Lepisosteus oculatus: one gene and its partners. The protein of the gene in region 3 interacts with the protein of the main gene of each other region in a pairwise test. Links are inferred from orthologs where the notes say so. Each region holds a gene or a part of one and is shown on either strand. Other genes may lie near its edges. The genes, in order: aamp, cox5ba, bhlhe40 and naa50.

The links.
Region 1: the proteins of bhlhe40 (region 3) and aamp interact in a two-hybrid assay, tested with the Homo sapiens proteins (2 studies listed by BioGRID and IntAct). The link is inferred for Lepisosteus oculatus from reciprocal best matches to the Homo sapiens genes BHLHE40 and AAMP.
Region 2: the proteins of bhlhe40 (region 3) and cox5ba interact in binary tests that used the Homo sapiens proteins (3 or more experiments, as listed by UniProt). The two-hybrid records come from large-scale screens. The link is inferred for Lepisosteus oculatus from reciprocal best matches to the Homo sapiens genes BHLHE40 and COX5B.
Region 4: the proteins of bhlhe40 (region 3) and naa50 interact in binary tests that used the Homo sapiens proteins (3 or more experiments, as listed by UniProt). The two-hybrid records come from large-scale screens. The link is inferred for Lepisosteus oculatus from reciprocal best matches to the Homo sapiens genes BHLHE40 and NAA50.

The regions. Positions count from the first base shown.
Region 1 is NC_090707.1:22,069,763-22,077,126, forward strand, and holds the start of aamp (angio-associated migratory cell protein), read left to right. Parts: upstream 1-4,359; 5' UTR 4,360-4,647; coding exon 4,648-4,735; intron 4,736-5,069; coding exon 5,070-5,210; intron 5,211-5,520; coding exon 5,521-5,640; intron 5,641-5,938; coding exon 5,939-6,078; intron 6,079-6,486; coding exon 6,487-6,631; intron 6,632-7,364. Other genes in the region: lactase/phlorizin hydrolase, read right to left, coding at 1-80, 212-291, 1,449-2,130. UniProt on the Homo sapiens protein: Plays a role in angiogenesis and cell migration. In smooth muscle cell migration, may act through the RhoA pathway.
Region 2 is NC_090697.1:71,875,913-71,883,765, reverse strand, and holds the start of cox5ba (cytochrome c oxidase subunit 5B, mitochondrial), read left to right. Parts: upstream 1-4,852; 5' UTR 4,853-4,912; coding exon 4,913-5,009; intron 5,010-5,447; coding exon 5,448-5,518; intron 5,519-6,619; coding exon 6,620-6,719; intron 6,720-7,853. UniProt on the Homo sapiens protein: Component of the cytochrome c oxidase, the last enzyme in the mitochondrial electron transport chain which drives oxidative phosphorylation.
Region 3 is NC_090699.1:54,736,380-54,743,411, forward strand, and holds the start of bhlhe40 (class E basic helix-loop-helix protein 40), read right to left. Parts: upstream 3,016-7,032; 5' UTR 2,593-3,015; coding exon 2,516-2,592; intron 2,362-2,515; coding exon 2,298-2,361; intron 2,020-2,297; coding exon 1,912-2,019; intron 1,244-1,911; coding exon 1,120-1,243; intron 646-1,119; coding exon 1-645. UniProt on the Homo sapiens protein: Transcriptional repressor involved in the regulation of the circadian rhythm by negatively regulating the activity of the clock genes and clock-controlled genes.
Region 4 is NC_090700.1:4,084,615-4,092,410, reverse strand, and holds the start of naa50 (N-alpha-acetyltransferase 50), read left to right. Parts: upstream 1-4,788; 5' UTR 4,789-5,111; coding exon 5,112-5,119; intron 5,120-7,796. UniProt on the Homo sapiens protein: N-alpha-acetyltransferase that acetylates the N-terminus of proteins that retain their initiating methionine. Has a broad substrate specificity: able to acetylate the initiator methionine of most peptides, except for those with a proline in second position.

The DNA of each region.
Region 1 (7,364 bases), on a different chromosome or scaffold from region 3:
ATCTTTAAAAATTCCACCTGCAAGTTTGTTTCCAATTTACAGTCATAGTTGACGTGCACAGCAAGGAAATCTATAAATCCCTAAATGAAAAAAATAATATTAATAATATTTCCTTAATACTTTCTGTTACATTCACTTCATGAATGTGTCTGGACATCAGACTTAATACAGATTTTCATGTTTTTGCATTAAATACCTGCTTCATCATTACCTTGTACATATTGTCAGTTTGATAAAAAATGTTTTTTCTCTTAATGTCACTAGCTTTCATTCCAAGGGAGATCTGTCCACCTGTAAGAATATTAAAAGAGCATATGTTGTTAGAGAAACATAAAAAAGTATTATCTTAAGAATACTAGGAAATAGGTTTACTGGGTTAAACTCCTAAAATATTATTTTACAATATTATTGTATCTTAGCAAAAATTGATAGTGTTCTGAATGTATGAATGTACCAGAACACTATCAATTTTTGCAGTAGTAAAAAAATCAGAGATACCTTTTAGCAAGTTGCACTCAAAGCTTATGAATTAATATTTCATGTTATCAACATACTGTTATGCTAATTGAGCATTGTAGAAAAAGGCAAAAAAATTGAAAATAAAAAATGTAACTGATGTATATATCCTGCAGGACTGATGCCATAATTGACCTTTTAGATTTAGATTTTAGATTGTTATAGTAAATTAACCACTTTATAAGAAGCCTCTTCACAGTTTTATACAATGTATGTCTGAACACTTGTAGTGTACTCAAGCAGGTAAAACATGAAAATTATATGTGCCTCCCCATAACTCCCCTGCTAAACATTATTATACTAGATCCATTATATAATTTCGACCTTTGTAAGCTATGAAATAAAGATAAAAACTGCAGAGTTGCATTTACTCAAAGATAAATAATCTCAGATATGACTTGTAATTGTAGTCCAAAAGGTTTCTCCTAGAACCCTTTGGAGTGACTTGTGACTAAAAAATAATGGTATATTCTGTTTTTCATGTAAAACAAAACATACTGTTAGAACATGAAAATCTGAATCAGTTCATTGGAAAATTAACAATTTAACACAGATACATCATTGTCCTTGCCCTTTTAAGTCAAACTTTTGTAGTAGTTATGACTGTTTAAAGACCAATTAAATGGAAATACATTTTTAGTAGTTATTTTTGGTTTAAGTTAAATTATAGAAAAATGTAGAATACTTAACAGCAAGGAGATCTTTGTTCTACAGACTTTCAGATAAAAACACAATAGGCCTTTATACAATGCTGTCCTTTAAATGGTATTAACTATTTTTGCTTTGACTGTAAGACAAGAGCTTAACTACAGAAAAATACATTCGTTTACACATCTGAAATAATTCGAAAGTAGTCTGATATCCTCAATGAGGATATTTCTGATATAATATTCATGACATTGTATTAACACTAGAGCCAGATGAATTCTTACCTTTAGCAGAAAGTAATTGGTGGTAAAGACTGTACACTTTTTTGTGGGCAAGTAAAGAATTTTCGAATACAGGCGTTTTAAGGCTGGAAGAGACCGAATCTTTCTGGTGTCCCTCTTCAATCATCTCATAAAACTTGCTGAATGTTATCCAGGACTCTGCAAGACCTCCCAAACTTGAAAATACAAATTTGGCATATTCTTCAAAAAGACTCACAAATGTCTCATTTTCCCAGCCTCCATGTTTTGCCTTCAAGACCTCAGGCACACCTGAATGGTGCAGCACTATGAGAGGCTTGAGAGTGGCTTCTGACAGCTGTGCAAGGAAGTTCCTGTAGCAGGAGAGAGTCTCCAGGTGAGCATTCTTCGGATCACCTTCAGGCAGGAGGCTTGTCCAGGAAAGGATCACTTTAAAATGAGTTATCCCTCTTGAACGAAGGTAATTGAAATAGTATTGAGCAGAAGGGGGCAGGGGGGATTGACAATTAAAGACCTCTGCCTCACCTTCCCCCTGAATCTTTGAAGCCAATGCTTGAAAATTGAGGGTTCCTCGGTTCAAGGCATTCACAAAGTTTTTAGTTAGGGGACCCCCAAGGAGCATAAATTCTTCTTGGTCTTGGACCCCACTGCCAAAGCAAGTGCATGGTAACAGGAGAAGAAGAAGGATCTGAACATCTTGCCTCATCTTTGCTGTGTGAAGACAATCTTAGCTATTATTGCCACATAAACTTACGTTTTGTGTGAAACCTTTAAACCATCTCACACTGCAATTTTTTTTTTACAATTGCATTGTCATAGCATTAAAAAAAACAACTGGGCTATAACTAGTTATCTGTGTTTTATAGCCCTAAAACAGATTACCTAAAAGAGATATGCCACTTTTATCTGCACTTAAAGTATGTTAAGGCCTGATCATAAATGTCAATGCTTGATTCGCTTTTCTATCATTTCAGATTGAGTTACTTATCTATGCAGAAATCTTTTCACAGTAAACAATTTCTCAAATTGCCTTACCATGAAATATACATTACCACGTGCAAGGGCAAAGGCACGTTAATAAAGAAATATTAGTAATTAAACTATTGTTAAAGAACATTTTAAACAAAGGTGGAGCCACGTTCCAAAGGAATGGAACAAAGTCAGTTAGTTTGTCTGTACATTTTACAGTTTTATTGTTTCTCACTGATTGGCTCCAAAAATTAACAATTGTTTTGTACTGTATAAACTTGTGATTTCTTCTTGTGGAAAAACTAGCTTGTAACAAAATTATTGGCCAGTGTAGTGCTAATGGTTGCATGATACAAAGCTCCAATGACATAAATTGGTGCATGTTCAGCATCTGGCTTTTTTTATGAAAACAAAGTAGATGATATGTAGTGATCACTTTGAAAGCAAGAATCCCTGTAGAAGTTCAGTAAACACAAACAGGGTCTAGCACTGTGGATATCAGACTGAATTGTTGTAGTTTCAAATTGAGCGAATATATTTTTGTACTCTTGAGCAAGATAATTTACTAAAAGTGCTCCAGTACATGATTTGTTGTATAGACTATTCTTCAGGTCAACATTATTATGAATGAGAATGAGAACTTATTGTCTTATAGATTTAGGGATTTTAAGAAATGCCTGATTTCATGCTGTAACTGAAAAACTAAGTATGTGATATAGTGAAATGGTGACATAATTATTATTTTTTTTAATCAATAATGTTTTCTGATCTAAAAGTAGGTGGGCTTCCGGGCTTCCATCTTCCAAAGCTGAGCCCAGAATGGCAGGAACATTTGGCTTTTATAGCACTGGTGCAAGAAGGCAGGTGCAGGAGATCAGGAATAAAACAGAAAGGGCTGGAGCGTCCTTAAGAGGAGGGGTTTACGATCGTGACACAGAGTGATGAAGCCAATTCATAGATGGGGATTATTAGGAGGCCATGATTCATAAAGGCCAATGGGAAATTTGGTGAGGATGCCAGGGTAACACCCCTATTCTTTTTGGAAAACGCCCTGGGATTTGTAATGATGACAGGGAGTCAGGACCTCAGTTTTACGTCTCATCCGAAGGACGACATTTTTTTACAGTATAGTGTCCCCGTCACTATACTGGGGCATTAGGACCCACACAGATCGCAGGTTACGTGGCCCCTCTAATATCTCTTCCAGCAGCAACCTTAGCTTTTCCCAGGAGGTCTCCCATCCGGGTACGGGCCCTGACCTGCTTAGCTTTAGTGGGTTGTCGGTTGTGAGTTGCAAAATTTGCAAGAGTGGTACTCTTAAGGGAGGTGGTAGCCCCAGTAACCCCTTTTGGATACAAAATGCAACAGAAGTGTAGTTAAATATTAATTATTCTTTTCAAAGACATCACATGATGATCAAAATGAATGTTGTATGTGTGAATGAAAAACAGAAAGAAATAAAATGCAAGCCTAAATAATATCTTAGAATAATATTTGGACAGTATTGCATTTTTATACCCCACAATGGGAATTGAAATCATTTCTACAACTCCCATAATTTACCAATAATATACTGTATGTACCTTTATAATACCTTTACTTTTTAATTAATATAGTAGACTCTTAATTTTTATATTTAAAATAGCATACGCTATTCAAATGAAAAAATGTAGAAATGGACATATAATGAATAATCAAATAATTCATGAATTATTCAATAATTTAAACACTAAAAATAGACCAAGTAACTAGATATTTCAACCATTCTTAATTTCGGAGAAACATTTAGCTTGTTCACCATATAGCTACTTAGAATACACTTCATTTCCCATAAAGCTCTCACTTCCGGTTATTCACCTCAACCAAACCCGTTAGCTGCATCTACAGGAAGCCCCGCCTATTCCAGAATGCTATTGACATTTACTTTTTTTCACTGCACTGTGATTGGATCAGAAACCTATCAATCAGATTTCCACGCTAAAGTTTCAATAGTAGCAGTAACACGTGAGGATAGAGATACTGGAGTGTGAATGTAGTTATTAGTGTTTTTAGATTGTTATGGATTTTTATTTTGGAAACAGACTTTTACTATTTCTAATATAACGAAGTGCTATATCAGCCCTTAATGTTGTTATGAGTGATTTCCAGTAATATTCGTCGTGTTATAGTCCATATCTCTAGCTAGTTGTAATTTAAGTTTTTGTTTTCATAAAATAGAGCTCTCTTAACAGGCAGTTATTTTTTATTCCGAAAAATGGATAATGCCGAAGGAGCTGTAGATTTACACGGGGACGAAGAAATCATTGAAGTGATTGACCTTAATGAATCGGAACAGACGCCAGGTAATGTTACTGAATACTACTCAGTGTGCCATGTTGAAATGACTGCATTATGTCAGTGATTTTCAAATTGTTTCTTAATTTCAGTAGATGAATATATACATTGTCAGTTTTCCTTTTACGCTTCTTTGGTTTTAACGTAGTTCATATATATTTTATTTTTCATGAGCGTATTGTATGTGCACAATTACATATATCTGATCTGGAGCATGCATAATGCAAATATGCCCATGTTTTCTCAAATGCTTTGCGTCACAGTTTAAACTAATAGATTCATATGTGTATGCTGGGAAGGGTTATGAGGTACCCAACGGGCTTCATTTTGTATTTTGCCCAGATGACTTGGCTAACGAGATTGAAGATGTCGATTTCGGTGAGGAAGGAGGAGATTTCGCAGATGATGAGGGCTGGCAAACTGAAGAAGAGGACATGGAAGCTCGACAGGATGACAGTGAACTCACCTTCTCCATGCACACAGGTAGGAACGATATATATGTGAGGAAACAGTCGATAGTTTTACGACGTACTGTGGTGTTCCTGTGCTATTAGTAGTAGATATGAGGAAATGTAGGTAAACGACTGTTGACACCTAGTAGTATATAGAAACATTGTTGAACTGACATTTATAAAAGCAAAGTATAGCCTTACACGACTTACTCACTATTTTATGGCTTTAAGACCTCCTGCTTTTCATTTTATAAGTCCAGGTAAACTATGAATAAATAGAAGTCTTATTGTTACTGTAATTGTTATGCGTTGCTAATACTGATGTTAATATTCGTTTCCAGGATCTGTGTTCTGTGTGAGTTTAGACCCGGCCACTAACAGCTTGGCAGTCACTGGTGGAGAAGATGACAAAGCCTTTGTTTGGAGGCTGAATGATGGAGAAGTTGTCTTAGAGTGTGCAGGTGATTTTCCATATACTTATTTGTATAAATGTATTGTATTTATTAATTGACTACATTTATTATCAATCAGATTGATAATTAGAACTTAACTGGCTTAAAGTGGGGCATCCGGCATTGCCTTATACGGATACTGATTGCATTTCTTAAATGTTAGATGCCATTATTATGAATTTGAATTATTTTTGCGGTCACACTCAGAATTTATATGAGGACTATATAACAAAAAATCATTTAAGGAACCCATTAATAGTTCAGTGTACAACGACAGTTATTAACACCAAACTACATTTTCTGACAGGCCACAAGGACTCTGTAACCTGTGCTTCCTTCAGTCATGATTCCAAGCTCGTGGCTAGTGGAGACATGAGTGGCCTCATCAAGGTCTGGAAGGTGGAAACTAAGGAAGAGGTCTGGTCGTTTGAGGTGGGAGATCTGGAGGTGAGTACTTTAGCTCACTTAAACGACTCCTGGCTGTCCAAATGCCCCGGAATGTAATTTATAAAGGCCTTCATTAACCACTTCAGGTATTAATATACCGTTAAACCTCTAAATAAAGACTCCTTGTTCAGCTGCAGTTTTGCATGGAAAGTCCTGGTAATAGTGTGAATCTGCTTATACAGAAAAACTAAAATATGCTTTCAGATATTTCCTCCAAAATATTTTGTGAGGATAGAAAAATACTTCTTTTTAGTGTGGAGGTGTAAAACTTTAATATTGCCTGATTTTTTGTTTTCCCTGACAAACCCTAGTTTTCAATAATTTGGCTAAGTGTAGTCACATTGCCGCTATCAGAACTCCCTCTTGTTCGAGTGGCTGATTTGGCGGTGTGGTTGTTTGTCTCTTCAGTGGCTAGAATGGCATCCTTGTGCCCCTGTTTTGCTGGCTGGCACAGCAGATGGTAACGTGTGGATGTGGAAGATCCCAGGCGGGGAGTGTAAGACTTTCCAAGGGCCAGGCTGCCAGGCCACAAGTGGAAAATTCCTGCCCGATGGTAAGATATTCAGGGCAAAAGTCTCGCTATTAGTCTCAAGTGGGCCAAGTGTCGAACTGCACATCTTTATGTCTTTGTACCCTGAGGAAAAAGCAGTTTTAAAACAGGAAAGGAAGACAGTGGTGACGTTTTGTATCTTAAAGGGGGTTTACTATCCTTCAATGCAAAGGAAAACATATATTGGTTTTTGTTTAATTCAGAAATAACCAATAATAATATGTAATACACCTAAAATATTTAAAAACAGTTATGTTCTTATTTTTGAATTCTGAGTAGTTTCAGCATAACTGACACTGAGACTTGGATGATTAAAAACTGCTAAACTACACTGGGATTAACTGGGATATTTACGCACTAGGTTAAACACAAGGTTTTAGACCAAACACACATTAGACCAAAAACAAACACAAAGTTTGTTTTTGGTCTAATGTGATCAAATATATGCATGGAATTAAAAATAGAACATTTATGGTAACAGTATGTTTTATTTATATTAATGTTACAAATAGAAACTATAAAACAAACATAATAGTTTTCACAATTCCAATTTGTTTTTATATTTTCCCAATTGTTTTTTATGGACATGAGGGCAGTTACCATAGATCTTAAGGATTTTATGTTAAGGATGGGAGCTGTAACTACTGATTAGAGAATTGCAAATCTCATTCCAATTAATAAAATCTGTGAAAATACTTAATGAGGAAACCAAATAAATTTCTGTTATTGGCAATGC
Region 2 (7,853 bases), on a different chromosome or scaffold from region 3:
CGCTATTCTGAACTCTGACCTGGGATAAATACGGGAAGAATGAGGAAAATTACAGAGCTTTAGAGAGCAGGGAACCACATTTAACTTTGCCAAGTTTTCCCTCCATAGCCTCTGAAACTGTAAAGACCTCATTAAATCTAATTCTATAATTATAATAGTATTCATTTTAACTAGAAGTAGTTAACATGTTCCATTGAATTAATCATTTTAGAAACAGGATGCCAATATTTATGTTTGTTGAGGTTATTTTTGTTTGCTGTGTGAAATTCAACATCTTTATATGCACTGAGGGGGTAAGAGGGCACACAACGACACTACAGACGAGAGAGGCAATCAGGCTAATTGACACTGGAGAGATCAGTTAGTAAAACGTACTGGCAGACGATGAACTAAAGAAATGGTTTAGCTGCTCTCTCATGTCCTCAGTGGAATAAATGTGAACACCTACATGACAGACAGTGGGATCAAAGGGCACTAATTGACTCTCAATCCTCCAATTCACTGTTCTTTGAAGAGGTGAAGAAAATTAGAAAGTCAGAGAAAAGAGAAAAAGATAAAGAGTAATACAGAAACACCGCTTACAAAAGCCAAGGGGATGTCCCATCTCCTAGCTGAGTTGCACCAAATCATTTGGCAATTGCTAAACCTAACAAGATGTTATTGTACAGCATGTGCAATACAGCTGATCAGCACCATGCACACATTTCATGGAGCTCAGGCCCATGAAAGATTTATACTTGTAGAAAAAAGACCTGAGCTAAATCCAGCTAAAGAAAGTGTGTACTTGGGAGGCTGCAGTTAGAAATTCTGCAGGTTGTGCCAAGAACATCTTCCCCAAATCTCACATTACCTTCTCTTACATAATTCCCATGTGAATCACTCTCAATTTCCTGTCTTCAGTTGCTCTTTTAAAGGATTGTAAATTATAAAACACACAACAGATGAGGAATCCTAAACAAACCCTTGGAACATATTTTGGGTTTCATTCTCAATGTTTTGTAACCTGTGTGTCCTTGTTACACTTCTTGCTTGTGTGTGTTCTTCCTAATGATTCTCTGTTGCTGTATCTGCGTTGAACCGCTACTGGCCCATGTTGTATTAAAGTGAGCAAGCTTGAAACACAGCTACTTTATATGCAGCATAAAGAAATAAACACAAGCAAGATATATTTGGCTTTCAGTATCATCTGATGCTGATGCAGACATTCACACAGAGGATCTGGTATTCATACCACACTATTTATATGAGGAATGGAAAATACCACTGTGCTATGGGGTATTTAAAATGTAAGAGCCTGGAAGGTTGTGGGTTCAGATCCCAGGTGAGATACTGCTGTTATACCCTTGAGCAAGACACTGGGAAAATATACATCTGTATAAACAGATTTTAATGCAGGCTGCTTTGCATAAAAGTGAAAGCCAAATCCATAAATAGTGATTTCGCAAGTCTAGCACATTTTACAGAGCAACTCTCATAGAAGGTTTAAGGGGAACTGCCCTGCTATTTTTATATTAGAGGGGTTAGAAGAATCTGTCACATCATCCAGGTGGGGCTGCACATTGGTGGTGGTGGAAGGGAGTACCAATTACCTGTAAAGCACTTTGAGTGAAGTGTCCAGAAAAGAGCTATATAAGTGTAAGGATATTATTTAATTCAATAGAAATATTGGTCTTGACTTTGAAACTGATTTGCTGACAAATAAAATGTACTTGTTAAATTTGCAATGCAGATCACATTACACCATTTCTGTGGTGAAATGTCTGCTGCACAGCCTGTACGTATTCACTCATACATCGCATTACATTAGTCATTGCAGGGACTGGTGAGCAGGAAGGGCTGCTTCACGCCCCAAATCGCTCAAACTCTTACTCTCACCCATGGAAAGACCAGCGGTTTGCAGCGATATGGTGACTATACATTGCTTTCACAAAGTTCTTTCACAAATTTTGTGCTTAATTGAGAATTCATAAAAACATTCAATACCATCAATTAATTTTGTTACCAACATTTAATGACGGGTCTGAGAAATTGGGACTGCAGTTCTCCTTTAACTGGGCAACAAAGGCACAGCTGAGCCTTTAAAGAAGAACCTTATGTTAACAATTCCTTCACTATTGTCACTTGGACATAAATGGATGTACGTCCCATTCTAGGAATTTGTCCAAAATAATTGTAGTTCTTAAGAGTGCAAGACGCAATTGGTGTGTAAGAGCTCAATGTTTTTCCAAATGTATTCTGCACCTTGTGCGAGACTTATCTGTTGTCTGTTGTTGAAATCATAAAACAAATCATGCCTCAATACAAGTCAATATTTATGATCAGTCTCTGTATGTCACGACTCTAGATCTATTAAAATGTACGTTACAGTACTTTGCTGTTTGCTTTGTCAAGTGTGAAACAGTAAGGTTTCTTAAATAGCACCACACCGCCCTCTAGTGAGAAAATTACGTTAATACATCTAAATCTGAAACGGATTTCTCTGGCCGGTGGATAGTTTTTCACATAAAACAAGTATGGCTCAGCTGTCACGAAAATCTTCCTCCTTAGAATCATGGAAAAAATCCTCCTCCTTTCTGCATTAGTCTGAGCTGTCAATTAAAAATAACCCACAACAGAACTGAGAGGTTTTGGAAAAGAATTGTGTTTATGCTAACATGCCACTTATATATTGTATACAGTGTTCGAAAGCAATTTAAAAGGCAAACAAAATACTAGAATATAAAGTTACATTGTAGAATGTAAATCAGGAAATGTTTTGTTAAAATTGTATAATACACAAGTAAAGTCTCATTTAGAATACTGAGTACAATTTTGGTCACCGTGTTACTCAAAAGATATTGCTGTTCTCAGAGAAGAGCAACCAGATATATGAGCTTAAGGGAGAGTCCTACACTGTCAGGCTGAAGGAACTGACATTTTTGTTCTTGAACAGAGAGGACAGCAGGGGAAACAGACAGACGTATTCAAAATCCTCAAAGTTTGGGTGTCCTCTATCTATGTCCTCTATCCTCAAACTGAGGTCGATAGAGTCAACCCAGAGGTCTTCTTCAAAATGAACAGTGAAACTCAAAGCAGAGGATACAGATGGAAATCATGTGGAAGTGAATTTAAAACTGAGAGCAGGTGGTACTTCTTTACCCAAAGGGCTATGGGAGTATGGAACGAGTTGCCCAGCGATGCTTTTGAAGCTGCTGCCCTGGTTTCTTTCAAGAAATGGCTGGATGAGAGCCTTGGATCAGTGAACCGCTAACTAGCCAACGGGCTAAACAGGCTAAGTGGCCCCCTCTCGCCTGTAATCTGTCTTACCTTCTGAAGTACACATTCATGAAGCAGGCCAATGTTTACACAATCAAGTACAAAAGCATACTCTCTGCTGTTTTCAACATAGTGGGCCTTTTGCTGCTGTTGGTGGTAGAGGATCACACTTGCAGATTAAGGTGGGCTGGATTTATTGTAGCCGATTCCCAGGGAGATCAAAGAAGAATAGTGGGAATAATGAAACAAGGGTTTGAGAGAGAATCCACGGCTGGAATACTTTTTTGTCCTGTTGTGTTAATGTCATTCTGCCCTGGACACCATACTGCATATCTATCCATCCATTCTCTAACTACTTTATCCAATTGAGGCTTGAGGGAGCCAGAGACTATCCCAGCAACAAAAGACACAAGGCGGGATAAACTCAGGACAGCATGCCAGTGCACTGCAGAGTGCACACAGACACAAATACACACACACACTCACATCAGGACCAACAGGCCAATGAACCTACCAGCATGGAAACCAGAGCACCTGGAGGAAACCCAGGCAAAACCAGGAACAACACACAGACTCCCCACAGTTAGCATCCCAGGGATAGAACCCAGGGTTCCAGCACTGTGAGGCTGCAATGTTAGCCCCTGCAACACCCTGTCTGATCATTCATTTTTACCCTATATAGCAATAATGTCAGCAAATGACCCCTTGTATGTTACCAAAGTTATCAGTTCTTACTACCTTTCTTGATGTTGTTTAATATAAGCTGCCAGCTGTTATTTAAATTTCATTAAGAAATGAGACAATTCCCTGTTGCGTCGTATGCACCAACCTGTAAGGAAAATAGAGCCCTTACAAACTTTCTTTATAGTCGGTTCTTTCTACTCTTATTTCTCACCGCACTTCAACTCATCTCTTTGGATAATGAACCTACTTTCTAACCCCCCCAGTAACACAATACTGTCACTTGAATGTAAGGCTGTTTCTCACAGACAGTACACAGTATTAACACTTTACTATATGTGTAAGTGATTTTCATTTTAACACTTATTTTAGCTCTCTTTTTCTTTTGTAAAATCAAACAGGGAATTAGGAGACTGAATACATTTCAGAGTAGTTCCTGGTAGTTAAAACCTATACTTCAATAAACAAAGTGCAATTAAAATAATGTCTAAAGTAGGCCACCATCACAGCACAGTACGTTTATTTGTATGAAATCTAACTGATACTACATAATTATTGCACTTTGAAAACAAGAGTTATGTTTTCTATTATATAAACTTAATTTTCTTGATAGTCTTGTTAGATGACCAGTGCCCTTGATTAAGGTCCTCTTTATGACTCTTAGTGTGAAGCACAATAACGGTGTATTACTTTTTGTCTATGAAACTCTACCGTTTGATATTAAAAAAACTACATGATATAGGAAAGGCGCGTAAAAACGACATCCCTGAAACAGGTTTTTTTGCTCTTCTCTTTAAATGTAATACTCTCATAAACATCTCGTCCAACAATCATCCAGCTCATTAAAAAAGAGGCATTTTCAGCCAGCGTCACGTGACTAACACACGCACTTCAACGTCATATCTCCGCGACAGTCGACACAGGCGCTCTGTCAGTGTCTTTCCTGTATTTTCTCATCTGAGGTGGAGAAGAGAGGATGGCTGCAAGGTTATTGCTGAGATCGGCCGTTCGTGGGGCTTCTTGTTGTCGGGCGGCCCCTGCCTCGGTACTCACCCGCGGCATGGCAGCAGGAGGTGAGAGAGATGGCGAGGCAGACGGCTTGATCGCCGAGGCAAAGACGTGGGGGCTGACTTCAGTTAAGCTGTTTTTCTGCCAAGGGCAGGCAAAGGCAATCGTAGTAACAGGCCTCATTGAGTTCGGGGGTTGTTAGAAAGCAAAGTGCTATTTTGATAAATCTATATGGGATACCTTTTTCTGTAGAGATCAATTTAATGTGAACAAGCGGAGTTTGGACAATAGTATTTTAATAACTGAATTGTATGATTTCCTGTAGTTTTTAAATGCTTGTGAAACGCGGAAATGGATTACACGTTATTTAACTACACTAAACAAAACGCGCAGTTTACTACAAATTAATCATATTACATATCTCTGCTCCGCAAAACTGGTAGCGTTGTAGTGTGTTTATTAGTTTTTTATTTCCCCAAAACTGCGCAATTATTTATCTACAGGCGTTCCGACCAACGAAGAACAGGCTACCGGTTTGGAGAAAGAAATTATCAACGCATCGAAAACAGGAGCGGTGAGCATCTGAAACTGTATAGTTATTGTCATCTGGATTGCCACACTAATAAAATCAGTTGGATAGGCGCATAGTCATAAGACAGAGATTCATGGCAAGATGGGGCACAAGGTCATACGGATTAAATATAAAGTTTGATTATTCATGTATTTAAATACGTTTCACTATTAATAGCTTATTTGTTGTACGTTTCTAAAGTGTCATTTATTACTCCTAAACCAAGATTTGTATTAAAAGCCATGATTGTTTCACTTTCACTTTTACAAGAATCACTGGCCCCCATAAGTTCAGGGTCGCGTTTTTCTAAAAAAAAGTGCAATACAATTTTAAACTCTTTTCATGTACTTTGTCATTGTCTGGACATTGGTTAATGGAGATCACAGGGTACATATAGCTAGAATTAATTAATTACAGGTACTGTATATCCTGCTTAACTGTGAGGACGGTTTCCTGAAAAGCTTGATGTGCCGACGATGTAAATCAAAGTAATCACCACAATAATAATGTAATGGTAGGCTGCCATATACATATGTAAAAAAACAGGTTTTAACAAAAACACATCTGAGTTCTATATGTTTAATATAAACTTCAAGAACAGTGTACGAATGTTGTGAATATATTTTCAATACAGAACATTTTTACAGCCTAATGTGTACTATATGTAATAGTTTTAAAATATATTGAACTCAATTCCCTGTTCTTTAAGAAAAAGAATGAATGACCGTATTTTACGGTTCTGTAGAGACAATTTTAATTTAAAATATATTATATTATATAGTAAGAAGTGGTAGTCTTTTAAGAGTATGTCCAGCCAGGTGGAGGCTGCTTAAGAATGTTGTTAGTAATGTAAAAAGATATAGACATTGAGTTCATGTATAGCAGGATATATCGGTAGTTTTGTTTGTTCGTATGCCTAGATTGATTCGAAATGTGTTTCAGCTTGCCAGTTGTGTGCCTAAGAAATCCAGAACGAACTGATTCAGCTCTCTTTCTTCTTTCTTAGTTTATCCTGTTTAATGTAGTTTAAAAAAATGAAAGAATAGAAATTAATGAACATTTGATGGTTAAACTAAAGAAAGTTAAAGAAACTTTTTATTTCAGGACCCTTACAACATCTTCAAGCCCAAGGCGTACACTGGGTCCAAGCAGGATCCCCACCTCGTGCCCTCCATTAACAAGAAGAGAATCGTGGGCTGTATCTGTAAGTCCAGACGCCTCTGTCTTACTCCTCTCTGTATTCTACAGCCGCTCTGGAGCAGGCATCGCTTTGAACTGGAAATAGCTCAAGACTGGTGATAGTTGGACATTTCTCATTTGTTTTTCAAATCTTTTCCAAACTTTTTCTTTTACATGAAAGAAAGTGGGGAAGGCAGGGAAAATATTAGTCCTGCCAGTATGTCCTACTGGGTTTAGCTGTACAGTATATATGATCTCTCTGGTTTATGATGTCTCTTTCCTACAGTATGTTTGCTTTCATAACTGTAATTGATCACAAACAACTGACAGTGAAATAAGTCAGCAAGTTTACTAGCTATATGTTCCTTAAGGTTGTTTTGTCTGCTTTCGCTTAAAGGAGGACATTATCAAACTACATTGCCTGTTTCTAAACTTTTTGTAAACTAAAAAAAACTTTAATTAGAAGCAGACTTCCCCGACTCTCTCTTGTGGAAATTTAGGGGTTTTCCCATGTTCGCTTAGATAGAAGTGAAACATCTGGGAAAAGTAGAGGCAGTGGTGTTTGTGTCTTTGTGAACGATATGTAGTGCAGACAGTACTCGGTGAGGAAGATTATCTGCAATTAAAATGTTGAGGCCTTTCCACCTCCCGAGAGAATTCTGTAACATTATTATATGCAGATCCGGCAGACTACGGAAGCTCCTGTGTTATCCTGTGGGATTTAAATCACTGTAAACTGGAGATGGCATTGCCTGGGTTTGAACAGCATATCAAATGTGGGACAAGAGGGAACAGAGTTCTTGACAAATGCTACAGTAATATAAAACAAGCCTATACCGCCAAAGTCAAACCACCTGTCTAACTCTGATCACAATACTGTTCACCTCATCCCCATCACCTCGAGAGCATTATTAGATATGGTATAACAGTGTGGTTTGGTAATTTTATCAGTTCAGTTAATATCGCAAATTACCAGTCTCATCCAAACAGCTTTGAAGGTCATGGGAGTGAAACAGCACCCCTCCCTGCAGACAATCTTTGAAAAAGCCAAAATCAAGCAGGCAGAAAAAATTATATCAGATCCTTCCCACATCCTCAATTCTGAATACCAACTTCTTCCTTCTGGCAAACGTTTTAGGGTTTCTGAATGAAAGTCAAT
Region 3 (7,032 bases):
CCAGCATGGGCAAATATGCAGCGGCTGAGGGTGGGATCAAGTAAAAAGGCATGCAGAGCGGAGCCTGGTGTGGAGAAAAGCCTAGAAAGCCACTGTTATTCCCCAGCAATTCTCCGCCAGAGAGGGACTCCTCCTCTGAAGACTCAGTCCTGATTCTTTTCATTGGCGGGTCATCGCTCTCTTGCTTAATGGAGCCTGCCACTCGGTCAGCTAAGCCATACTTCAGTTCACTCTCCTTGCCGAAGTACTGCCGCTCCATTTTTGAGTCATTTTTCTCCAGCTCTCCACCGTAGCCACTGTCAGTGTCTGTGTCACTTCCACTCTGTTCCCCACTTCCCTGGGGATAAGTCCTCTGAATAACGGGCACACAGTTCTTCCCGTGACCCTCGAAGATCTTGGGCTGCAAACCGGCAGGCTTCTCTTTGTGGTCATGAGCTTTGAGGCCAAGATCCTCCATTCGGGGGCTGGGTGTTCTCTGCAGGACCTCAGACGCTACCTTGTGCAGGTGGTTGATCATATGGGAAGGGGTCAGCTCTCGTCCACTCTCCTGGTTGGCCAGGTACTGCAGAACTTCCTTTGCACACATGTGAAAACCAGACCGGAACATTTCCTCGCTCACGTCAGGGCTGTGAGCTGGATGGTCACCTTAAAAAAAAAAAAAGAAAAAAAGAAGGAACTTCTAATTAATCATCCTGACCGTCACAGAATAGTTGCACTGGAACTTAATTTCAATACAAGATGCTCGCAGACATCCCGTATTAAAAGGTTATTCACTAAGTTACTGCACTACTCAGTAAATAAACATTTAATTTTTATGTTGGGATTTTGCTACTGAAAAGCTATTTCGAGTTCTGAGAAAAGACATAACATTTCATCTTGCAGAAAATGTCTAATGGAATAGAATGTTTCAAGGGAATTTTGCCATTCAGACATGACGTTTTGAATGATACGCACAGGCTTATATTTACATATTATTCCTGATTTAGCAGCTTAGAAATGTCACATGCAATCGCCCTTTGCAAAGACTCCTTTCAATAAACGTAATAAAATCAAAAGCCAAAAACGTATGCTGTTATCTATTAATCTATGCATTTACATTTGAAGTTGCACATTACTTACCGACTTGCAATCCATTCTGTAGTGCGATGATTTTTTGCTGCTGTTGTTCTAAGAGGCTAGTGAGGGCTTTCACGTGCTTTAGGGTCAGCTCCAGAACCACCGCCTTTTCCAAATGGCCCAAAGTCTGTAAATAAAAAAAGTCTGATAAGCACGCAGATAACTTATGTAACAAACTGTGGCTGACAAACCTGTGATCATCAAAAGCAGTTTAAGAATAACGTGATAGAATGAACAAGAGCTTTGAAATATCAAATAAGTAAAAATACGAATCCCTCTAACTATAAATCGTACAATATTTGTAACGCATCAACAAAGTGCATACAATTACGCGTTACAATTGTTAAAGGATGGGCACCGAACGGTAATTTTAAAAGAAGCATTTTTATCAACAAGTTAAAACTTAATTAAAAAGCCTTTGAATATCAAAGATTCCCGTGTTTATATTGTTTCCACATAACCATATTTTCAAGTGATATTAACACAATTACCGTACCTATAATCACTTCATATCCGATCAAAAAATATACTAGAATTTTTATTTTCAAATACGCCATTTGGCACCTATGATCCTATCCTGTGGAACTTTTCGGTACTTTCGGTACAACTGCAGAAGCTATGTAATGTCAAGGCGAATGAATAAATCGAAGAAAGGCTTTGATCCATTCCCTTGATAATTTCCCATGTAAAGTCAGCTGCCCTTCAAGAAAACCCTACGCCAACAAGCAGATGGCGCTTTATACCACAGTTGATTTCTATTTAAAAGAATTGACTTTATTCCAAATTCTAACTTACAGTAAGTTTAAGGTGCTCTGGCAACAAATCCTTAAGTTGAGCAATGCATTCATTAATTCTGTCACGCCTTTTCTTTTCAATGAGTCTATGGGGCAACTTGTAAGTTTCCTAGAGAAAAAAAAAATCAACAGTTAGGTTCTTGTTCAAGTATGCACGTTTAAGTACACTATGTAAAGTTTACATAGTTTAATTTAAAATTATATTTACGTTATTGCATTTTTAGCCCATTAAATACATACATATATGGTATAAGCATACATCAAAATAATGATATATGCCTCGATTAAATACATGTTTAACTTACAAAAACAGCTTTCAAATGACATATAAAAGATCCACCAGAAAGGTATTTCAAATTGTAATCAAGAAGAGAGAGCGTTTCGTACCTTGCTGTCTTCCCCTCGCTTTATTCCCCTTCTGGGCTTGTACACGTACATGGGGAAATCCATTCTACAAGCAATATGAAAACGGGGGAAAATAAGATGTCTGCATTTGAAGAACGGCTAACTTTATCAAACTTGCACGAATTGCGCGACACACAGAAGAAGAGACAAACTGCAGACTGGAAAATGCACAAACCAGCTGTTAATAGACACGTACATACCCTTGCATGTCAGGGATTTCCAACGATGTGTGTTTTGTCATGCAAGGGGGTGGCTGCGCAGCTGTGATCCTTTCCATTTTCTTTTCTGACGACGAAACCAACGTGAAACAAGGTACGATAGTCAAAAGTTTTTTTTTTTCGTTTCTCCCGTTCAGTCGCAAAACTGAATATGAAAAGTGTATATGATTTAGTAAAAAAAAATCAAAAGACCGCTCTTGCTCTGACGTTTTGTTTTTTCTTCTTCAGATTTTGCGAGCTGCTTATTGTTCTACGCTTTACTTTTCATCATCCACGATGTCTCTTGAAAAGCAGAACGACAGCGCTCACGACGTTATCACCCAGCGATCCAAAGCGCAGTCGGCTGTAGTTTGAAGCTGCAGGCTGGGTTAAATGTATGGGAGTGGGTGGATTGGGCTACGTGTTAAATAAACCCTGTGACTACAGACACGTCTCTAGCTCAGTAACTGACCTACCTCCGTCACATGAGCCTCACGTGTTGGACAGCACTTTCAACTGAACTACGAACAACCCTTTTTTTTTTCCTTGTTAAGGAGGATCTGCACGAAAACGTTACGCCCCCGTCACACTTCTGTGTCCCGTGTACCACCATGCTCCACTTAAGTGTGCTACAAAGCAGCATCCCCGGAGCATCAAAGACTTTTCATTACAGATGAGGTTTTCGGCATTGTAGAAATCGGGGAGGGTAGAGTACCCGATTTTAAAAGGGAATCGATTAATCTTGCATGCTGCTATGTAATGTTGAAATCATATAAAAGAATATTAAAATCGGTAAACATGACACTACTTATATTCTTTCCAAAAATGAGAAACCTCGACCTCACCCCGTGCCTTTGAAGTGTCGCGATTATTTTCAAATTTTATCAACTACATGTCGAACATAGTACATTTTTCCAATGGCTATGTCGCTACTCCGCATTTTTAATTAAAATCTCTGTGTGGATTTCTGACTCGTGGAGGTTTTCTTATACCAACGCTGATGTTATTCACGGCAATCTGAATAGAGCTTGTCATGTTACCAATAATCAGCGACGCCACGTTTTTAGGATTTCCTAGGTATGCACGATATAATTCTGACAAGGCTGTGCCAACCTTGAACCACGGAATGTCTTCTGCATAGTTAGTTCACCTCTAAATCGTGCTTGACAAAATTTTTAAAATTACAATGCTATTAACTAATATTAAGTACCGTGACCACAGTGCAGTGCAGACAGCATTACTAAAGTTAACTGATCTGTGACGCAAGATTTTGGACTCCTAGTCTTAGCGCAATACGAATTCCTGCTACAAACGTGAATACCAGGCAATTCATTTAGCAGCTGTGCGGGTCTTTTAAGGTTACTGAAGACTAGCATGATCAGAGATGTTCATTTCATTTTGAAGCTTCGGGTTAAGACAGTTGCGCTTTTTATATATGCAAAATGATATGTAACCACATACGGCTATGCTTGCATTGCGTGAAGATCTAATCCTTTCGGCTGAAGTGAGCTCTGTATACCGTTCTCTTTTACCTTAGTGTTCTGTTGTCGACAGCCATTTACAACATTCAAGTCGATGTGAATTCGCCATTAAAATAACTAGTTGTATATTATTCTGAAATGGAAAAAATATAAGCAGAAAATCCCGTATAATGCATTATTATGTTTACTCCCTTGTTGGTTTGTCTCGAAACCGTACTTAGAATAATTTATCGGTTTAGCTATCCAGCTACTCAAAACCAGAAAAATAAGATGGTCCACTTTTTCAGCTATATTTTATAATATGGTGTGAGGGGCAAACGCTTTGAAAACATTTCCAGTTGAATAATATAACGCTTTCTCCGTGTAGAACCTAAATGCAATGTGTTTATTAAATGTTCTTGCAATTCGTAAATTGGGTTGAATTGAGAGTGCTTTAATTTAAAAATACAGCTTGCTCAACTTCACAATTTACACTTTAAGGCAGAAACACCACTCTTCACGGTTTTTAGTTAATGTCTGTATTATGTATATTTGAGGAGAGCTAGCCGGTGAGTAAATAACACTAAACTGCTACCTAAATGTCAGAATGGACTACAGAAAAATGCAATAGAGAATGATACACAATGGGTTAACACAAGCTGTGATTTCTAGTCAGACACCCAGTGGTGTGCATTTTAATAGTGTTTACTCAGGGACCTGAGTGTTTACTCGACATATTATCTGGGTAGGACCTATGCAGACACGGTGTTATTTCGTGTTGGTTCCATCTGCCCATCCACGTGCACCTGTTTGACAATGTGTCTGTAGCAGATCGGTTTGCTGCTCAGTGCACCACCAGCAGTCACGTTGATCTCCTCATGGCAGCGAGAGGAGAACCAGATCCCTGCCACTGACGTCACCCACTCATTAAACCCTGAGCACCCGGCACGCTGAGACAGCCCTGCCAGCGCCGCCTGTGCTGATTTGCATGACCAGCGCCTTGCAAACAACGTGCTTTCGCCTAGTTGGTGCCGTAGCTGCCAATCCAAAGAACAGCCGACAACCGTTTTTGGTACAACGGAAACCCGACAGTGACAGACGAGGTACAAATCCTGCAATCTGCAAGTCGCCACTGAGCGCGCACTCGTTGAAGCTATTTTTCCCAGTTTTAACAGTACGTGATCCATAGCTGTGCCTTTTTAATCACATTTTTAACAAAATCCCGCGTATTCCCCGTTAGTTTAACAGATACAAGTAATGAATCACCAATGTATTCCTCAGACTGTACTACATGCCAGTATAAATTTAATATCGGTATCCGACGTTTGGAAAATCCAAATAGGAACCCCCCCCCAGGATTAATATGAAGCATTTTATTAATTTTCTTTGGCAGGAAAAAAAATAAAATATACCGTTAAAAACTACTAGCCAACATAATCTGGGGTTTGTCGACAATTTAGTACACATTTAACGCATTGAAATTCACGATTCGAAGACGGTAAAGAAAATGCCCGTTTACTGTGTACAGTGACTGTATACAATGTGCATGCTTTCAATGTATTTGCAATGTATTTTATTCAGATCTGGTTAGAGAAGGTCCAGGAAAATACATTTCTCTAATCTTTTTGTTTAAAGATTAAAAAGCACGATGCTCTGTGTGAGATCATGATTGCACCAACTCCAGTGTGACAGAGTGACGCGAAGCAGCAGGATACCTCCACCATTTAGAGTGTCTGAACCTTTTTCACAGGACGTAGAGCAACATCATGTTGTGGACATCTCGAATCGGCAAGATGCTGCCGTTCTGCCTGGTTCCATAAAACCAGCGAAAGAATGAATGCATTCATGCGCCCTTGTGGTTTTCCTGGAAACGTCGACTGTAATGAAATCCAAAGCAAGCAGCGTTTCTCAATTTTGCAAAGCCTGAAAGGCATCCAGCGAGTGCCAAGACCGAAAGAGCAACTAAAAATACTCTTGACACCTGATTTATAATTCATCTGCGCGCTGAATAGTTAGCATCACATAATAAGCCATCAGCCAAAAAAACGTATCGATATTAGCACTCTTAAAGGAAACACCCAAAATGCCCGTAAATGCAATGGAAACCAATTAATTTCCCGACAAAAATATGTACAGTATGTGTGCGCAAAAACAGGTCTGCAGGTTTGCCTAGCCTAACATTGCACCGTATGTTTCTCACCTGTACAGTATACGTAAGCCAACCTCCCAAAAACCCGTCTGCTTAATTGTAAACCCTATCTGGGTGCTGTATTGGTATCAATGCATTCCAAGAAAAAGTACAGATGTACAAAAGACGGTGTCTGAAGACAAAAGAACTGTATTTCAAGGTATATCTTACCCAGTTAAAAAATAATGGCGTTTGTACGTTTTATAACACTATCATAAATAGCAGTTATGTTTTGGGAGCATCGTGATGATGCTAAATGTCTAAAATGGTTTACATTTATAGCGTTACACGGATTTCCGGTTTTGTAGTGTAATTATGTCTGCATTTGGTAAAGGACTATTTTATCAATAACAATTTAAAGAACTATTTAGTCCTTGGATTATTTTTTTTACATGGCTCCTTATGCATTATTTATTATCTGATCTGAAAAAAACGTTAAACAAATCAGAGCATTCACAAAAATCTGTGGCATCAATGTGAATGGCCTTTTAGTCCAGTCACCATATTCAGGATTAAATACAGAAGAACATAAGAAAGGTTTCAAGTCTTTTGGCCCATCTAGCCCATTTGGCAGTTAGTAATTAATTAATCCAAGAACCTCATCCAGACCTTTTTTTGAAAGAAATCAGTATATCGGTTTCAAAAACATGGCAGTGTAAATTGTTTCATACTGAAACAAGCCTCTGGGTAAAGAAGAGCCTCCTGTTTTTGTTTTAAGTGTACTTCTTTGTAGTTTCCACTCGTGCCCTCTGGTTTGTGTTTCACTGTTCATTCTGTGAACCAATGTACATCACTGATAACTTGCAGAAATGTATAACTTTCCATCTGTGTAAAAACACTTCAGGACTTTTTTACTCTAAAGCCCTAAAAGG
Region 4 (7,796 bases), on a different chromosome or scaffold from region 3:
TAAAATTCATAAAGGGTCATTAACCCTGGTACTCTGGCTCAACTCCAGTCTGGACCTGTACAACCTGTCCTTAGATTTTACTCCTAGTTCAACTGGAGGAGCAGTTTCTCGCTCCTCCACCTGATCTTCTGTGTTGGTAAGATGCAGACGCCAACCACATGGGAACTGTACTTTAATGGTGGATGAGGTGGACCCCACCATTTTGTAGAGAGCTTTCAAACGCCTAGGGATGAGAAACGCTATAAAACGACCATTTTTCAAAGAAGGGCTGGAATGAAATCTAGGAGGGGCTGTGACCCCTGCAGGCACGATACCTAAAGCACAAGAGAATCACCCCTCTTTCTACACACCCCCTTCCACAGTACTGCCACACTCGGACCGGGACATTCTTTTCTTTCCCTGCCTACAACTCACAAGAAGAGAAGCCTTCATTAAGCAGAACAGCCCAATTGATCCTTCACACCTTCACAGGCATGCCTGGTCATATCTGTTAAAACTGCAAAAAGAACAACAACAGTTACCACAGCTCGGCAGACAACTGATGACAAAAGAGAACAGAAAGTCCTGATTAAGGACAGATTTCCCCATGTTGCCACATGCAAGCCTGCACTTCCTGGACTGCAATCCATTACAAGAACCCGTCACAGCCATTTCTCCATCCACCCTGCCGCACTCGATGAGCTAGCGGAGGATCAGGAAGCTGACCTCTTTGTTATATACCTGACCTGCCACTACATGCATTACAACTCTGGACAACATGTGTTCAGAAATACCAGCACTTCCTCTCCTTCCTCAAGTGAGGTCACTTTACTGTCTATCTGTCTATGTTTTTGCAAAAAGCAGTTTATTCCTGGCCAGGGTTGTGGCAACCCTGCGTATATCCCAGTGCCAAGGGCACAGGGCAGGACCACGCGAAGGGGACACACACGTGTGCACAGGGGGCACAACTTACAGGAACCAGTTACACAGGTCAGGGTGACTTTGGAAGGAAGGAGGAAGTCAGGCACTGGAGAAAAAAAAACAACGTAAACATGGAAAGAACATGCAAAACAGATTTGTTATTTTACCAACGACGTACCTGCTGCACAGAAGACCTGTGCGAGAATGAAGTGTCACGGTACCTAACACTGGTTTCCTGCTGTACTGTACCTATCCATTGTGCTACAGGGCTCCTGCTACACAGCTCTTTGCGTGAAGAGAGCTGAAATGAAAGCCACGCAGAGATTTGAAGTTGAGATTTGGCATTGCCAACGCACTGGCTGGGCTGCTGGATGGACAGCCTGCATGATTTACGCTCACCCGTGTGGAGACCGACCCCCTGATGTGGGCTCCAGCTGAACGAATAATGAACTGATCGACAGTAAGGGGCTTTGGGAAAAACGTCTCACTGCTCGGCTCTCAATGTGGCACCCTCCCCCCTCCCGGTGCAGCTGTGTGATCAGGCACGGTCACGTGACCTCCTCTGGCTCTGACTGGTCAGTATCTGTGGTTGGGCTGCACGTTCAACCACTGATAATCTGATCTGGGCAGGGGTCTGGACACAGTCTTCACTCAACTTGGCCGTTGGTACAGTATTGTTGTCTGTTTTGTTAAGCACCTCATAAGACGTTTACTTGGAGGCTTTGCCCAAGATCAGCATGTTTGCGCAGATTTTGCGGCACAAATACAATCTGGTGCAGATGAACATGTGCAGGACACCAGCCAGCAGCTTTGGACCCCTCGGGCCATCATTAGACCTAAAGGGGGACCTTTGTTTATCCAACCCAGACCTATGCACTGAATCACAAGGTAGCGATTACATGACAGTGGAACAACTGCATAGGATCATGCTATAAAAGAAAGAAACATTAAAGGAACTTCCAAAATGGAACAATGCATCAGAGTCACCTTCTCATTCACGGTTATGACTCACTTACAGACAGTTTCCACTGATCTTCCGTCAAACCCACCAAGTTCACTAACACTCCACATCAAAGCACAGTAGTGCCAAAAGTGTAAAATTAAAATCGGGATCTTTGACCCATCCCTGAAAACTGCTCATACTTCATTCACAGGAGGGTAGTAAGCACATGCTCTTGAAGCATTCCTATATAAAAAAAGGCACTGGCTCGTTGCAATGCAGGTTCTGAAATTAGGTTCGTCGTGAGACTGACTCACCGCTGTGCTCCCCTACCACAAACCCACCCAGCCGAGGTTCTGTCACTCTGGAGCTCACAGTCCCGCTGCGTCACAGCGCACGAGGCTCAATGGACACCTCCAAGCCTCTGTCCAGCTTGCCGTCAGCGATGGTGAACCATCGCCAAATGAAATGAACAGGGCAGGTGACTCAAGGGAGTATTGAGGGTCCTCAAGGGCACAGACAAAGTCAGCCCAGTCGGCCTCTTCTGAACGAGCAGTGAAACAGGAACTAGAGGCCAGTGCATTGGAGACGAAGAACAGCAGGCACTCCTGTTTGCCAAGTCAAAGAGTTTCAATGAGTTCTACTATTACAGCAAGGGTCCTACTGTGCCAACAAGAGCCCATCTGGAAAGAAAGCCAGCAGGAGTGGGGGAACCCCAAAAGCAAAGCTGGGAACCCCTGCCTTATCCTGCATCACCCGGAATGGAAGACCATACTCGGGGCACATCACCCTTACAATATCCACACCACTTTTATGTAAAACAAAATGACAAAACTGCTAGACCGATCAGATGATACAAATGGACTACAATACAATACATCATTCATAATAGATCACTCCGTTTTCTACGTCAGATCATAGAATACATTTTAGGGGAATGCAGTTCTGATACCGCCCGGCATGTGATGGACCCCCATATATCTGTTACGCAGCAACTGTACACCCAGCCCCACTCCAGACACCCCATAAAGATGCTGAGCGCCCTTCGGAAAATTTCGCCCGGTCTGCTGACTCGATCACATGACGTGTCGATCGTGTCTAATACACATTTGTTAAGACGAGCCAACCCTCCGACAGAGCGAAGGCAACTAAATGCATAGACGGGGAATGAGACGGTCACCGCTACAGTTCAGTCCCGTAAAACAGGCCGATACCTCTGAGGTCTGAATCCGTTCAACAAAATCTAGTCTAGGGTACTTCGTCTCAGCAATACCCGTCAGGATACGTTAGCTATCCTCCATCGACGTAAACACGCAACACATTCTTAACTTGAGACATCTTTCCGCATTGCAATTATTCCTATTCCTCTAAAACTGAAACCTACACGACCCCTGGCAAGCCCAGCGGTATTTACCAGCAATGCGTCCGAAAACACGTTTGCACCCACGAACAAACCTCTGTTGCGCAGTGAACTCGCATCTTGACACTTCAAAAATACGATCGGCTCTGTAATTGTGATCGCTCAGATATTAGCGTTCATCGAAAAAGCGTAATCTAAAATTATTTCATAATACGGTATATCACACCGAGTCTCCATCTGACGAGCACAACATGCTAGCCGATATGGAAGAGTGTCTGCTAATAATTCAGACGCTTACTGGACTACAGTACGGTTAGGATGTTTTAATACGACTGAAGGACCGATGTTGCATTTTGTTTTCAATTATTTTTTTCACAACTGCCGTACAGTGCAATGGTGGCCGAGGACGGTTTCGACAGCTAAAAGAAAAAAACAAAAACGAAGGCCTGTGACAGTACTGCCGCACGAAGCGTGAAATGAAAATTGTTTTAATTTATTCACATCAGAAACCCGCAGTGTTTATTTTGCACATATGGATCAGCTGTCCAGCCTGTCACTTCAGCGGCGCATAGGTCTGCTACCGACTTACAATCTGCATTTCATTGAAAATGTAATTTAAGACACGCAGCAACACAATAAAACCGGCTAAACACATACAAAACAGTGATTAAAGAGTCAAATACCGTTACGTTACCTTCGAGAAACGAAATTATTTAAAGCTTTTTCTCTCCCTCCTCCAGCAAGGAACTTGTCAGCAAAGCGAGAGATCGGGGAGTCAGCTGACTTCATTCACCGCAGGCTGAACTACCCCTTCGACAGGAGAGGAAACTGACACCATACTGGCTCAAAACTGGATGCTGGGCTGCACCGCTAAGCTAAGCCGTTTCTAGAGCCAAGATGGAGATGATTTAGGCCCAGTTTCGTCACTTCCCCTATATATTTCGCACCCTCCGTCAAATTGAAAGAAAACAGCATTATGGGATATTGGAGGAACTTTATCGAACGCGTGTTATCCAGTTTAGTTCTTGATAAAATAATTTGAATAACTAAAACACTATTATGATTCATAAAGGATGATGTACTTAGCTTTTAACTATTCAAAAATATGCGTCTCATGTAGGGAGTCATTATCTTACCAAAATATTTTTTAAAATATTAACCCGTAACCGGCGTCCCAAATTTATAATAACGTTAGTATACTCGAAAACTGTTTTTGAATAATTGCCATTGAAGATACCAACAGTAGCTGTTAATAGATAGCCTGTCAGTAAAATAACAGATTAGTTAGTTCATTAATTTCCATAATTGCGTAAAGAAATATTCAGATATATTACGGGAGGGCACGTGTGTGTATTTCTGGTCACGTGATCTATCCGATTCGCTGTTGGATTAGATATTTTCCTTCAGTTCAACTCAAATGATTTTTAACATTTAAACATACTGTCGCATTTCCTCGCAATCAATTTATTTTTTTTAAATGCGGTCGTTAAAATATTTTAATCGAAAACGGCAACGTCGGCCCGAGTCAAAGGTCACGGCCTTTGGACGTTTTTTAAAAAAACAGCCGTTAAATTCGTCGCTTAATCGAATCCCATTTTCAAAATATTTTCACGCACTGAAAACCGGTCGCAAACCGCGTCAGGGTGGCGTTGGGGGACGGGCAGGCGGTTTTGGGGTCTCCGCGGGGGAAGGCAATATTTTTATCCGGGGTAGGGGGGTGCGGAGCGAGCGGGGTCAGAGTTCAGCCGTGTGTGTGTGTGTGCGCGCGGAGGGGGAGCGAAGTTGATCCATGTGGTTCTGGCTGACAGCGGTGCTCAATCCTCACCCGAACTCAGCCCGAATCCCCCCCAAGGACGAGCCGCTGCCCTCCGCTTTGACCGCGACACCCCCGGGAAACAACTCCTGTCCACCATGAAAGGGTGAGTAGGCGCCGTCCGCCGAGACGCCTCTCTCCCCATCACGGATAAAGTTTTTTTTTTCTCCTCTTTTCTCTCTCTCTCTTTTTTTTTTTTTTCCGGAGAGGGGTGGGGGTGTTGCGATGAGCTTTGCTGTGTGCATGCTCGCCTGGTGCTGCTGTGGGAAGCAGGAATCTGCCAACGCCAGCAGAAGCGTTGTGACCGCCGGGCGCCTGGTTAGCGAGCGGCGAGTGTCGCTCCTGTTTTCTCATCCCCAAGATGGCAAAAGTAGGATCGCTGGGGTTTTGTTTCCCAATCCCCGTTTTGGTTTTCCCTCGCGAGGACCGGCCGAAAAACAAAACCGCTGTTTGTTTTAATCGGATCCCTTCTGTATTGTGTGTGTGTGTGTTTTTTAAAATGAAAATAACGTAGAAGCGTTTGCTGTTGTAAATATTAATTTTCAAGTCTCCCCCCACCCCCCTTAACTTTATAACCAGTGTTTTTTCTTCCGCCTGTGTCTTGATAGTGAAAGATCCTTAAAACAGTGTACTAAATGGGTTAACGAAGGTGTGTTTGAGCACAATTGTCCGTTGGATCCCTTCTGAAGTCACGCAGTGGGCGATATCGGACGCAGGTCGGTTAGTATTTGGGGGTGTAATAGCGCTTCGGCCGACGTCTTCGTTGTGTATCACGGTTGCGTTGGCTAAAAGGTTAAGACACGTTCCCCCGCCCCGGGGCGTCACCAGTAGATCGACTGTTATTTGTTGTAGAAAAATCAACAGGTAAAATCCGGGGGGGGGGGGGGTCCGGGCGCGTGCGGGGTCGCCCAGCCCGGGACGCCTTTTGGCGCGCGCTGCAGCAGTAGAGGAAGAAACCCCCCCCCACCCCCGCCACGAGACACCTGTCCACACCTGTCTCGTTGTTTACCCCCCCACTGCCGGGTGGGGAGCGCTTCCCTGGCCCCTGTGAAGCTTTGACCCAAAAGCTGCTTTTAAAAGGGCGGTTCGGAGGTAAACCAGCAGACAGGAGCCTTCAGTGGCCGTGTTATTGGTTGACGAGTGCATGCTGGGTGGGGGTTCGTGAACATGATTCTTCACGAAGAGAAAGCAAAACCAATTTAAGTGGGATGTTGTTGTTTCCCCCCCCCATTCGCAGTGGAGTGCAGGCGAGAAGATGTATCTGCAGGCAGACCTATCAGACACTCCATACAGCATGTCTGCAGGTGTCTGTGTCTCTCCCGATCCTGCCTGTGCGTCTGGGCTTGCTCGCTTGATTGAGGTGTTGGACTGTAACTGAAGGTCACTGAGGGGGGTTATAAATGAGAGGAGGCCCATCCTGTTCATTAACCAAAAAAACGTTGGTACATTAAGAAGTTCGCAGAGAGAGAGAGAGGAGGCCATTTGAGTGAAAAAGGCTACTTCGACGCCCCTGTACAAAGCACTTGTTTCGGACAAGCCCCGGGTTGCCCTCCGGGCGAGGCGCTGCAGCGTGGCATGCGCTGCGGGGGGCCCTGGACAGAGCGGGGTCCTGCCAGCGCCGCGTGCCGCCCTCCTGCCGCCAGCTGGTGCGGTATCTCGTGACCCGGGCAGCTGGTTTAAAAATGGAGTTCCAGCCCCGGCCGGCCCCTATAAATACACCAGGGCGCGCGCTGGGCTCGGGGCTGCCTGGGGCACAGGTCCAGCCAGGGCGGGTGGGCCCTGTGCCGAGGAGGGGGCAGCTCTCTTCCCAGCCCGTCGGCCGTGCGGTCGTCCTGTGGGGGTTCCTGATGCAGAGCTCAATAGGAGAACAAGGGCCAAGTCTGACCTGAGCTGAGCAATGGATGTCCAACTTGGTTCTCTTCGCTCGCTGCCTGAGACTTTTCTCCTCAAGTCTGCGCCCCCTGCCATCGACAGCAATGGCTGCCCCCTGCTTGCTGAAGTCTTTTTTTTTTTCTCGGAGTTACCCAGCTGTTTTTGTGTCTTGCTCCCGTGTTTCTGTTTTTCTGCACAAAGAAACGGAAGTCGACCCTCGGCACGCCCGTGGCGTGGTGAGGAACTGAGTGCGGTGTTCAGCACCGGCCCTCAGATCTCGGCCGCCAGGGAAGGAGACGGCTCAGCTGCGGTATTGTGGACGCTGCGCGGTGCCCAGGGGCATCCTGCAGCAAAGGGGCTTGAACAGTTCCTATGGAACAGGCTGAGCAACACCCTGACTCGAGGAGATCGTTGGATCAGTTTGCCTACTAACCACCAAATGGGCTGGGCCCCTCTCATTTGTGACAACTCGGCTGAGAGACTTCGCTTGCCTGGAGCCCATTCCCACTGCTCTGTGAGCTGGGGTCCGGCTCAGAACCTTCTGCCGTGCAAACAGGAAAACGAAAAAGGCAACAGTAAACGTAACTGCACGCCGTCGCTTTGAAAGAGAACGGGACTGTAGTAATAATGGCCGGGACTGGGATTTGAAGAGAGGTGATAGTTCTGAAGTGGTGCTAATTTGTGCAGTTGTGAACCCAGCGCTCACTTGCTGGACATGGTTCATAGTTTTTCTTTGCCCACATTTCCATGACCTTTGGTCCCCTCGTTGAAGAACACATCCAAGCTCGAAGACTCTGGGCTCGGTCTGGACTGAGAGGAGGCAGCTGTGCCAGTCCTGGAGAGCATGGACATTGGCGGGAGTGCGTCCAGCTCCGCGGTGTAAAAGCTGGCCTGGCTGTGGGCTCTGCTGG